Oryzias latipes: one gene and its partner. The main gene of each other region encodes a partner of the protein of the gene in region 2 in a complex. Links are inferred from orthologs where the notes say so. Each region holds a gene or a part of one and is shown on either strand. Other genes may lie near its edges.

Evidence for each region.
Region 1: mettl3 (region 2) and wtap share a complex: the UniProt entries of both Homo sapiens proteins name them as parts of the WMM complex. The link is inferred for Oryzias latipes from reciprocal best matches to the Homo sapiens genes METTL3 and WTAP.

Annotation. Positions count from the first base shown.
Region 1 is NC_019882.2:7,325,443-7,329,629, reverse strand, and holds the start of wtap (pre-mRNA-splicing regulator WTAP), read left to right. Parts: upstream 1-1,379; 5' UTR 1,380-1,462; exon of another isoform or gene 1,463-1,599; intron 1,600-1,652; exon of another isoform or gene 1,653-1,729; intron 1,730-2,140; 5' UTR 2,141-2,148; coding exon 2,149-2,178; intron 2,179-2,280; coding exon 2,281-2,336; intron 2,337-2,409; coding exon 2,410-2,468; intron 2,469-2,563; coding exon 2,564-2,691; intron 2,692-4,024; coding exon 4,025-4,187. Other genes in the region: sod2 (superoxide dismutase [Mn], mitochondrial), read right to left, coding at 1-106, 454-482. UniProt on the Homo sapiens protein: Associated component of the WMM complex, a complex that mediates N6-methyladenosine (m6A) methylation of RNAs, a modification that plays a role in the efficiency of mRNA splicing and RNA processing.
Region 2 is NC_019876.2:17,637,143-17,641,163, forward strand, and holds the start of mettl3 (N6-adenosine-methyltransferase catalytic subunit), read right to left. Parts: upstream 2,810-4,021; 5' UTR 2,794-2,809; intron 1,971-2,793; coding exon of another isoform or gene 1,914-1,970; exon of another isoform or gene 1,708-1,913; intron 1,577-1,707; exon of another isoform or gene 1,445-1,576; intron 1,367-1,444; 5' UTR 1,361-1,366; coding exon 1,258-1,360; intron 1-1,257. Other genes in the region: ttc5 (tetratricopeptide repeat protein 5), read left to right, coding at 1,914-1,970, 2,810-2,942, 3,037-3,248, 3,344-3,494. UniProt on the Homo sapiens protein: The METTL3-METTL14 heterodimer forms a N6-methyltransferase complex that methylates adenosine residues at the N(6) position of some RNAs and regulates various processes such as the circadian clock, differentiation of embryonic and hematopoietic stem cells, cortical neurogenesis, response to DNA damage, differentiation of T-cells and primary miRNA processing.

The DNA.
Region 1 (4,187 bases), on a different chromosome or scaffold from region 2:
GTGGGGCTCCAGGGCGCCGTAATCATAGGTCAGGTCAGGAAGTGTGTGTTTCTGCCTTGATGATCCGACTTTCCAAGAAACAGTTTGGTGCAGGATTGATGCACAACTGAGAAGGGGGAGAAAAGGCAAAAAACTCAACATCGTTGTGGCAAATAACCTTTTTTTAGCTTGTGATTTTAGCTCAACAAGCCAGTGACATTTACCAACCAATTAAAGTAAGAAATAGAAAACATGAACGAATTTGTACATGCAATAATACTTAAACGCTTACACTATACTAAGAGTTGTTTTCGTTGTACGTCACAAGTTTTTAACTAAGCAGCTAAACCAGATTAGCATTGAAGTTAGCTAACAGTTAGCACAACAAAGCAAACAGTTTTCCACGCTGCTGATACAAGTATTTTCTTTTAGTTTTTGAACTTTACATAAAAATATAACGTAGACACATCTTACCTGCGCATTTGCCAGACTTTGCAAAGCATGTTTGCTTAAAGGTTAGAGAGCCAAGAAAAGTGAAAACAAGGCGGTATTACTGCCCTTGAAATGGGCAATTTCAACTTGACAGCGGAGTCGACCGTACCATTATCAGAATATGGGGATGTTATCGAAAATGGCTTAAATTCATATAAGCTTGAAAGGCAATATATACTATTTTTATATATATTTATAAGATAATAATTATATTTTCGGCAATTCAATTGCAACCAACGTCATCTTTTAAATTTTGAGATTTATTTCTCGGTCTTACCACTTTTCCTTAGCCCTGTCTTTTGGTAGATACCGAAGATTTATTGTAACATGGGGCCACATGTGTGCGAAAAAAATTTTTTTAAGCCCTTTTCGTTTATTGTACTCAAAATTTAATCATATTAAACTATACAATATTTGTAAGGTTGAAAATTTGTAACAACTTTGCGTCACGATTAAAAAATAACTATGTAACCATTGGAATCACGTGGTCTTTGCGTCACTGTGTTGAAATGGATACCAAAGATCGTCTATATCTACAACGAACCACTCTACATAATTTAAATGCGATCTGTTGTGATTGTAAATTTTGTGATCAAAGTAAATCCAGTTTTTTGGTTTGCAATGCAAAAAAGATGAAAAGACGCGTAAGGTTATGTCACATCAGCAAGGAAATAAATTAATTTCCCTTTCTTAGTCATTACAACATTTGAGAATAGTATTGGGTCAACAGCTTTGGATCGTTTTCTTTAGATAAACTAATAATGTAATACATCGCAAACCCAGAAACATTCAAGGAAAAACACAGAACTAAATGCAGTTTTAAATCTTAAAACATTTGATCACAACCATTTTGATTGTCCGGAATTTTAGGATCGGAAAATGTGAGCGTAGTGAGCAGACTTTTCTCTCCTGTCCACTGCTGGTATTACTCCGCAGAAACTCAAGTGCAGTGCAGCACCTCATCCTCCAGAGCCGTCCTGTTCTTCTCTCGGTAAAGGGGATGATTCTGAACACTTAAAGACGAGGCCACAACTTTTAATCAACCACCACTCTTTACGCATTTAAAAACAGTTACAGAGAATCTGTAAACCTCGAAGGTTTTTCGAAACATTGAAGCGAACGGGCCCGGTGAGTGTTATGATCGCGTAGGCCGCGTGACTGCAGCTAAGAGCCCGCTAGTTTCAGGAAAAGAAGCGCAGGGGTGGGAGTCATTTCCTTCACCGCCATTTTGTTATAACAAGAAGCCGAACATAGCTAAGTAATTATACACTTGATGCTTAGATAAACGACACGTTGAAAGATAACATCGCAGGTCTCTAAAATGTGTTTACGTCGCCGAAATGCTAAACGATTATTAGCAGTGAGGGGTTAACCTTGAGTACTTTTTAAAGGAAACCCTCCGCCGCTGACTGCAACAGTCGTTAGTAGTACTCGGCACGACATACCCTATTATCGGGTTATGTTCACTTTAGTTTCGCGGGTTTGTTGAATATAGCAATGGCAGTTCACTGTTGACACTTCAGTTTTGTCGGGAAGGCCCGTTTATAATAATTTTTGAGGGCGTCTGTGATCAAACGTGACGTCTAATATTTAACTGCGTGACGGCCAGCGCGAGGACAGGATGCCCAACAAAAAAAATAACACGTTTTCTGCTTATTTTCATTCCTAGAGAGCACAATGACCAACGAAGAACCTCTGCCCAAGAAGGTGAGTCTGATCCAGATTAAAACTACTCTTTAAGGGTGCTGTTGGTTGGTAATGGATGTCTAAGCAGCTTTTTGTTTATTCTATTTTTATTTTATTTTACAGGTTCGCCTCACTGAATCTGATTTGAAGACCTTGACCAGAGAGGAGCTGTGTACACGGTAAACAACAGCCCCTGTCCCCTCCTGTCTTCTGATGATGTTGAGCTGTTTACATGGATCTCATTCTCCTCAGGTGGAAGCAGCATGAATCATATGTCCAGGTCTTGGAGACTAAATATGCAGAGCTGTGTTGTAAGTTCACTTAAAAAATAGATCTAGCCCGTTGCATCGCAGAGTGTCGGCTGATGAGTTTGTTTCTCTTCCCTCCCATCATCCACCCCCCTCAGCCAACGACGTCCCGGGCCTGAAGGAGTCTGAGGAAAAGCTAAAGCAGCAGCAGCAGGAGTCGGCTCGGAGGGAAAACATCCTGGTCATGCGACTTGCCACCAAGGAGCAGGAGATGCAGGAGTGCACAGTAAGTCTCTCGCTCAGGTTTTTAATATGCAACACTAAAAAGATGAGTTGTTCTAAAGTTGCAGCACCTGGAAGAAATATTTAATGCTTTCTGTATCGTTACAGTATAATTTCTAAACATTTTTCTGCCTTTATTAGATAGAAAGTTTGAAGATAAAATGTTAAAAGCATAAGAATCACTAAAAAAACTTGACAAACCTGAAAGCATCTGTCTTTAGGGGATAAAAACACCAAAATATTAGATTCTTTTTAATTAATATTTCTTTTCAAATTGCCTACAAGGTGGGGGTTGTTTTTTATTTTGGAGTCTATCAATTTACCAAGACACATGTTAAGGATTTATAAATTGCATGAAAGGGAATGTGTGTTAATGAGAACACATCTTGGTTTGTAATCATTCTAGATGAGAACAAGTTGTGGTGGTTTGCAAGCTTTTACATCCAAATATTTAAAGTATTTTCTTTCTTATCACTTTTTAGATGTGGATACTGAATCGCCTGTTTGCTATTTTAAAACGACACTAGAGTGAAAGCAGCTTTTACTTAAAGCCTCGGATGAAAATTGTGTTTTTGACATGTTCTTGTGGGGTTTTTCTAATGGAAGAGGACATATTTAAAGACAGTTAGGCTTAAAGTTGCATTTCTAAGTATTTCTTTATTCAAATCATGAATCAGGAGTGGTTGGTAAAATTCTGCTACATAGGAAAATAGACTGATCTCTGATCTGCTGCATTCTGATCCATCCACTTGTAGGCAGATCCACGTGCGTCTTTGTTTTCCTCGCCTGAGCTGGCATCAGGCTCAGAACTCGTCTGGAAGGCTCCAGTATTGCTCACGATTTTTGTTGCGCTGGTAATGTTAGGTTGAGTCTGTGAAGGGCTGTAAGCTAGCAGGAGAGAGCGATAACAAATGGGTGGAGAAGCAGAGGCAAATTTCTAACGAACAACTGCCTTTCTGCAGAAAATATGTCCTTTAAAATAAAGATATTTTTTACATAATTTTTTTCTACAATTACTTTGTTTTTATATTCTATTTCCTTTTAAGATTACAATGCTATTGTAACACACAAATTTCCCATGTGTGGGATCAATAAAGTGATTCTGATTCTAAAAACAACATAAGCGTAATTACAAGACCACTGGGAAAGTTTTTAAAATCACTCAAAAGAGGATCGAAGTGGGACTTAAAACTAAGCGTCTAGACGCAGATTAGCCTAGATTTTGATCTATTTGAAAGCAGTTTTGTTACATTTTTAAAGGGAAGATGTTTAGGTGTTAAAAGCAGCTTCATAATGTGTGTGACTGGACTCTAACACCTGCCTGTTGCCTCCTACAGACACAGATCCAGTACCTGAAGCAAGTCCAGCAGCCGAGTGCAGCCCAGCTGCGGTCGTCCATGGTGGATCCAGCCATCAACTTGTTTTTCCTCAAAATGAAGGCTGAACTGGAACAGACTAAAGACAAACTGGAGCAGGCCCAAAATGAACTGAGTGCCTGGA
Region 2 (4,021 bases):
TGAAGACGTTACTGTATCTACTTGTTTGCCAGTGGATGGATCAGAGTGGAGCGGAGCTGGGAGACTTTCTGCCGCCCATTTCAAACGCTGCATCACAACTGAAAGCTTTTCCAAATAGTGGGTTTTTATCTGCTCCTGATCCATCCATCCATCCATCTTCTTAACCGTTTTTCCCTTTCGGGGTCACGGGGCTGCCGGAGCCTATCCCGGCCACTTGTGGGCGAGGTCTGTCGCAGGGTAGAATGTCCACAAACACACCACACACTCTCACACATAGGGACAATTTAGAGTGACCAATTAACCTATGAAGCATGTTTTTGGATGGTGGGAAGAAGCCGGAGACCCCGGAGAAAACCCACACATACACGGGGAGAACATGCAAACTCCACACAGAAAAGCCCCCTGTTGATGTTGTTTTTCATGTCCCCCAGCTGGGACTTGAACCGGAGGCCTTCTTGCTGTGAGGCAAGAGTGCTAACCACTGCGCCACCGTGCAGCCTCCTGATCCATCACCATGGAAATAAAAAATACTCAAAAAAGCAGTTTTCTTGTTTTTCCCTACATCCTGAGCAAAACGCTATGAGGAGAAGAACCCCCAATAACATGATTTTCATCAGAGTCGGTCTTTAAAAAAAATTTTTGATTCCTCTGCTCCATTTAGGATTGTTCAGTTGTTAAATTTTATTTCCACTTATTTTAAGGAATCTATTGTTCAACTTGCAAACAAACAAACAAAAACCACAACAACAAAAAGAAAACAAAGTAATCTCGAATTGCTAGCTACTTACTGTAAAGTTGTTATAATAATCAACATTTGTGATTTTGCTCCTAAAATAATTTTTTAGAATCTATATATATCTTTCTAAAGACTGTGAGGAAGTTTTGAAATAAAACATTTAGATGTGCTTTTCAAATATTTTTATATTAGAAAGATTTTAAATTAACACAATAAAATTGTATATATACAGACAAAAATTTTCTTTACTGGCTTTTTTGTGTTTACAATTAATACTATAAATTGTTTACAGAGGTTTTTACTTTCGTTATGTTGTTTGGTCGCTGTAGTTCAGATAATAACCTAAATAATCAATAAAAACATCAGTTTTTTATCTGCGAGAATCTATTTGTTAATTCACTAACTTGAAATTATAACAATAAAATGTATTTTAAATCATTTATATGAACAAGCAAAAACGTAGAGGATAAAAAGTAAAGGTTGTGATTGAATGGTGTCCCTGAGACTGAGACCAGCCTAACCTGCGGACAGCTGCGTTGGGTCTTTCCGTCGCCGCTGTAGCCTTTCCCGAAGCGAATCCAACTGCTTCTTATGCGCCTGAATGTTGCTCCATGTATCCGACATGACGAGCTGGAGAAATCAACACGAAATCAGTTGCAAGTCCCAAAAATGAAGAAACTTCCAAACTAACAAAATCACCCTCGGCACCTAAAGGAGCCCCGAATGTCCGGTCCAGAGAAAAGTCTCGGGCAAGTAACTCGATTGCGGTTAATGTTTCCGCTGAAAAATTACTGCTTTATCTCAATAGTATTAATAATTACACCAACTATCAAGATGTAAAAAACACGATATTGTACTAGTATACTTGTTACTTATATTTTTACAATTTGTTATTTTTGCCCCTAAAATGAAAAATGAATTGTTTTGTCGGACTCTTTTCTGTGAAGGACCGCTTCTACTTCCCGCGTCACTGAAAATCCATTTCCGTCATGCAAAAAAACAAAAAACAAAACAAGGATTTCAGTTTATTTTTGTTACTGTTTTTTCCTCGTAGTTTTATTTTTGTCTGAGTCTTGCAGTTATAGTGCGTTTGTTTAAACATATTGTTTTTAGCCTCCGTGTTTTTTTCTCTCCGTTAGTCTTTGTTCCCCCCCAGTTCGCAGTGAGTTTGTCAAAGATGGCGGAGGAGAAAGGGAAAAGGGATGAACCCAAAAGTGAGGAGCAAATGATGAAGGCAAGTCTTTCCAGTCTTTTGAGACTTTGTTTTTTCTCTCGTGTCGTTTCTTTTAGACTATGATATTTATATCTCGCCGTTATCCGTGTTGCGCGTCTGCGCCTCACATGATTAAGCAGCAGCTCAGTCTCAGTCAGTGGATGAAATCAGCTGTTTTTCTAAAGATGCGGTGCTTGATGTTGCTGTATTTCCACAGAAGTGGCTCCACATTTGTTCCAAACATTTGGAAGTCCAGGTTTTATATATCTTCTATAGAAAAGGGATCACTGAGGCACCAAACCATACGGAATGGATGATGTTTGGCTACAATTGTTCACATCTACTAAGCTAACACATATCAATGTTACAAAAATTAAAGCTTTAACCAAAAAGAAAAAAAGGAAAGTGTTAGGTGAGTAGTGGTATTCAGTAACAACACAACTTAACCTGAAATGTTGGAACAACAAACGATTAAAAGATCCACAAAATATTATGCTCTTAATTTGTAGGATTTCATTAAATGGGAGATAACTTGGCAAATATGAAAATAACAAAAGTCCTACTTTCAGAAAACAATCACGAATAACTGTTTTTATTGTTGACAGTTTTGTGTAATTTATCTTAAAGGCCCTCTTGGACAATTCATAGGCAAATTTCCTAACTCCTGCCGCTGTGCAGAAACTTTGTCCTAGAAAACATCACACATTTTTTGATTTTGGCTAAAAAGATCATAATCATACTTAAAAGACCCCTGGAAACACCTTTACAACAGATCAAAAAAGGATCGGATTGGGACTTTACTTTTTTTAAAATAAATGTTTATAAAATAGTGTTACGTTCTCACCTCCTCTGTAACGCAGGAGCTGGTGGATGACCTCTACGACTTCCGAGATCATTATTATGAGACGCACGGCGCCGAGCAGGTTGGAAAGAAGCAAAGCGATGTGACCCGACGGATGGAAGAAACCCTGAAGAAGCTAGAGGACAAAGAAAGTGGGTAATACAGCTCTAAAAAACAGATTTTTGTCAACTTATTTAGCAAAATATCCTCCTTTCAACTGGCTCCTTCGTTTCCTCCTATTAACAGACTGCTTTAAGAACAAGGCCGGGTTTTTGCTGCTGAAAGGCAGGTGTCTGAATGTGGCTCCGGACTTCTGTCCCAGAGCGGAGGAGTGCCTTTCCCGTGCCGTTAAGCTGGACCCCAGCCTGGTCGAGGCTTGGAACATCTTGGGGGAGCAGTACTGGAAGAAGAAAGACCTGATCGGAGCTAAAAACTGCTTCACTGGTGCTTTGCAGCAGGTGCTGCAGCTGTAACAAACAGAAACTATCTGTCTCTTTGTGGAAGAGCTTACTTTGTGACTAACTAAATGCTGGTTTTCCCTAAACCTTCACAGAGCAAGAACAATGTGTCTCTGCGCAATCTGTCTATGGTTTTGAGGCAGCTACCAGCAGCCAACGGGGAGGAGCATCGCAAGCAGGTGCTGCACAGCGTAGACCTGGCCCGCCAAGCTGTCCAGTTGGACGTTAAGGATGGAACGTCTTGGCGTGAGTGAAATAAAAACAAAGATCCGTTTTACAGACCTCGCAAAGACCCACTCCAGTGAAAATGGTGTTTGGGGTGTTTTTTTTTTGAATATGTTCTTGCGGCATTTTCCTGATGATGGAGGTCATACATAAAGAAAGTTAAGCGTAAATTTCTAAGTATTTCATTATTCAAATCGTTGTGAATCAGACGGAAAAAAAGCTGAAAAAGATCGTATTTGTAATGTAGAAAATACGCTGGGCGGGCCACAAGCTCCGCTGCATCCATTTGTAGACAACTACATCCATGTACGTCTTTGTTTTCCTCCTCTGCGCTGGAATCTGGCTGAGGCTGGATAGTTCAAACATTGCTCACCATTTTTGTTGTACTGGTTATGTTAGGTTGCAGGTGTGAGGGGCTGTAAGCTAGCAGGAGAGAGTGTAAACTGATGGATGATGGGAAGGGAGACGGGCAGTCCTCCCAATCTATTTATCTACAAGCACATGCATCAGAATGGAGCAGAGGAGGGAGCTTGTGTTGTATTTTCTGT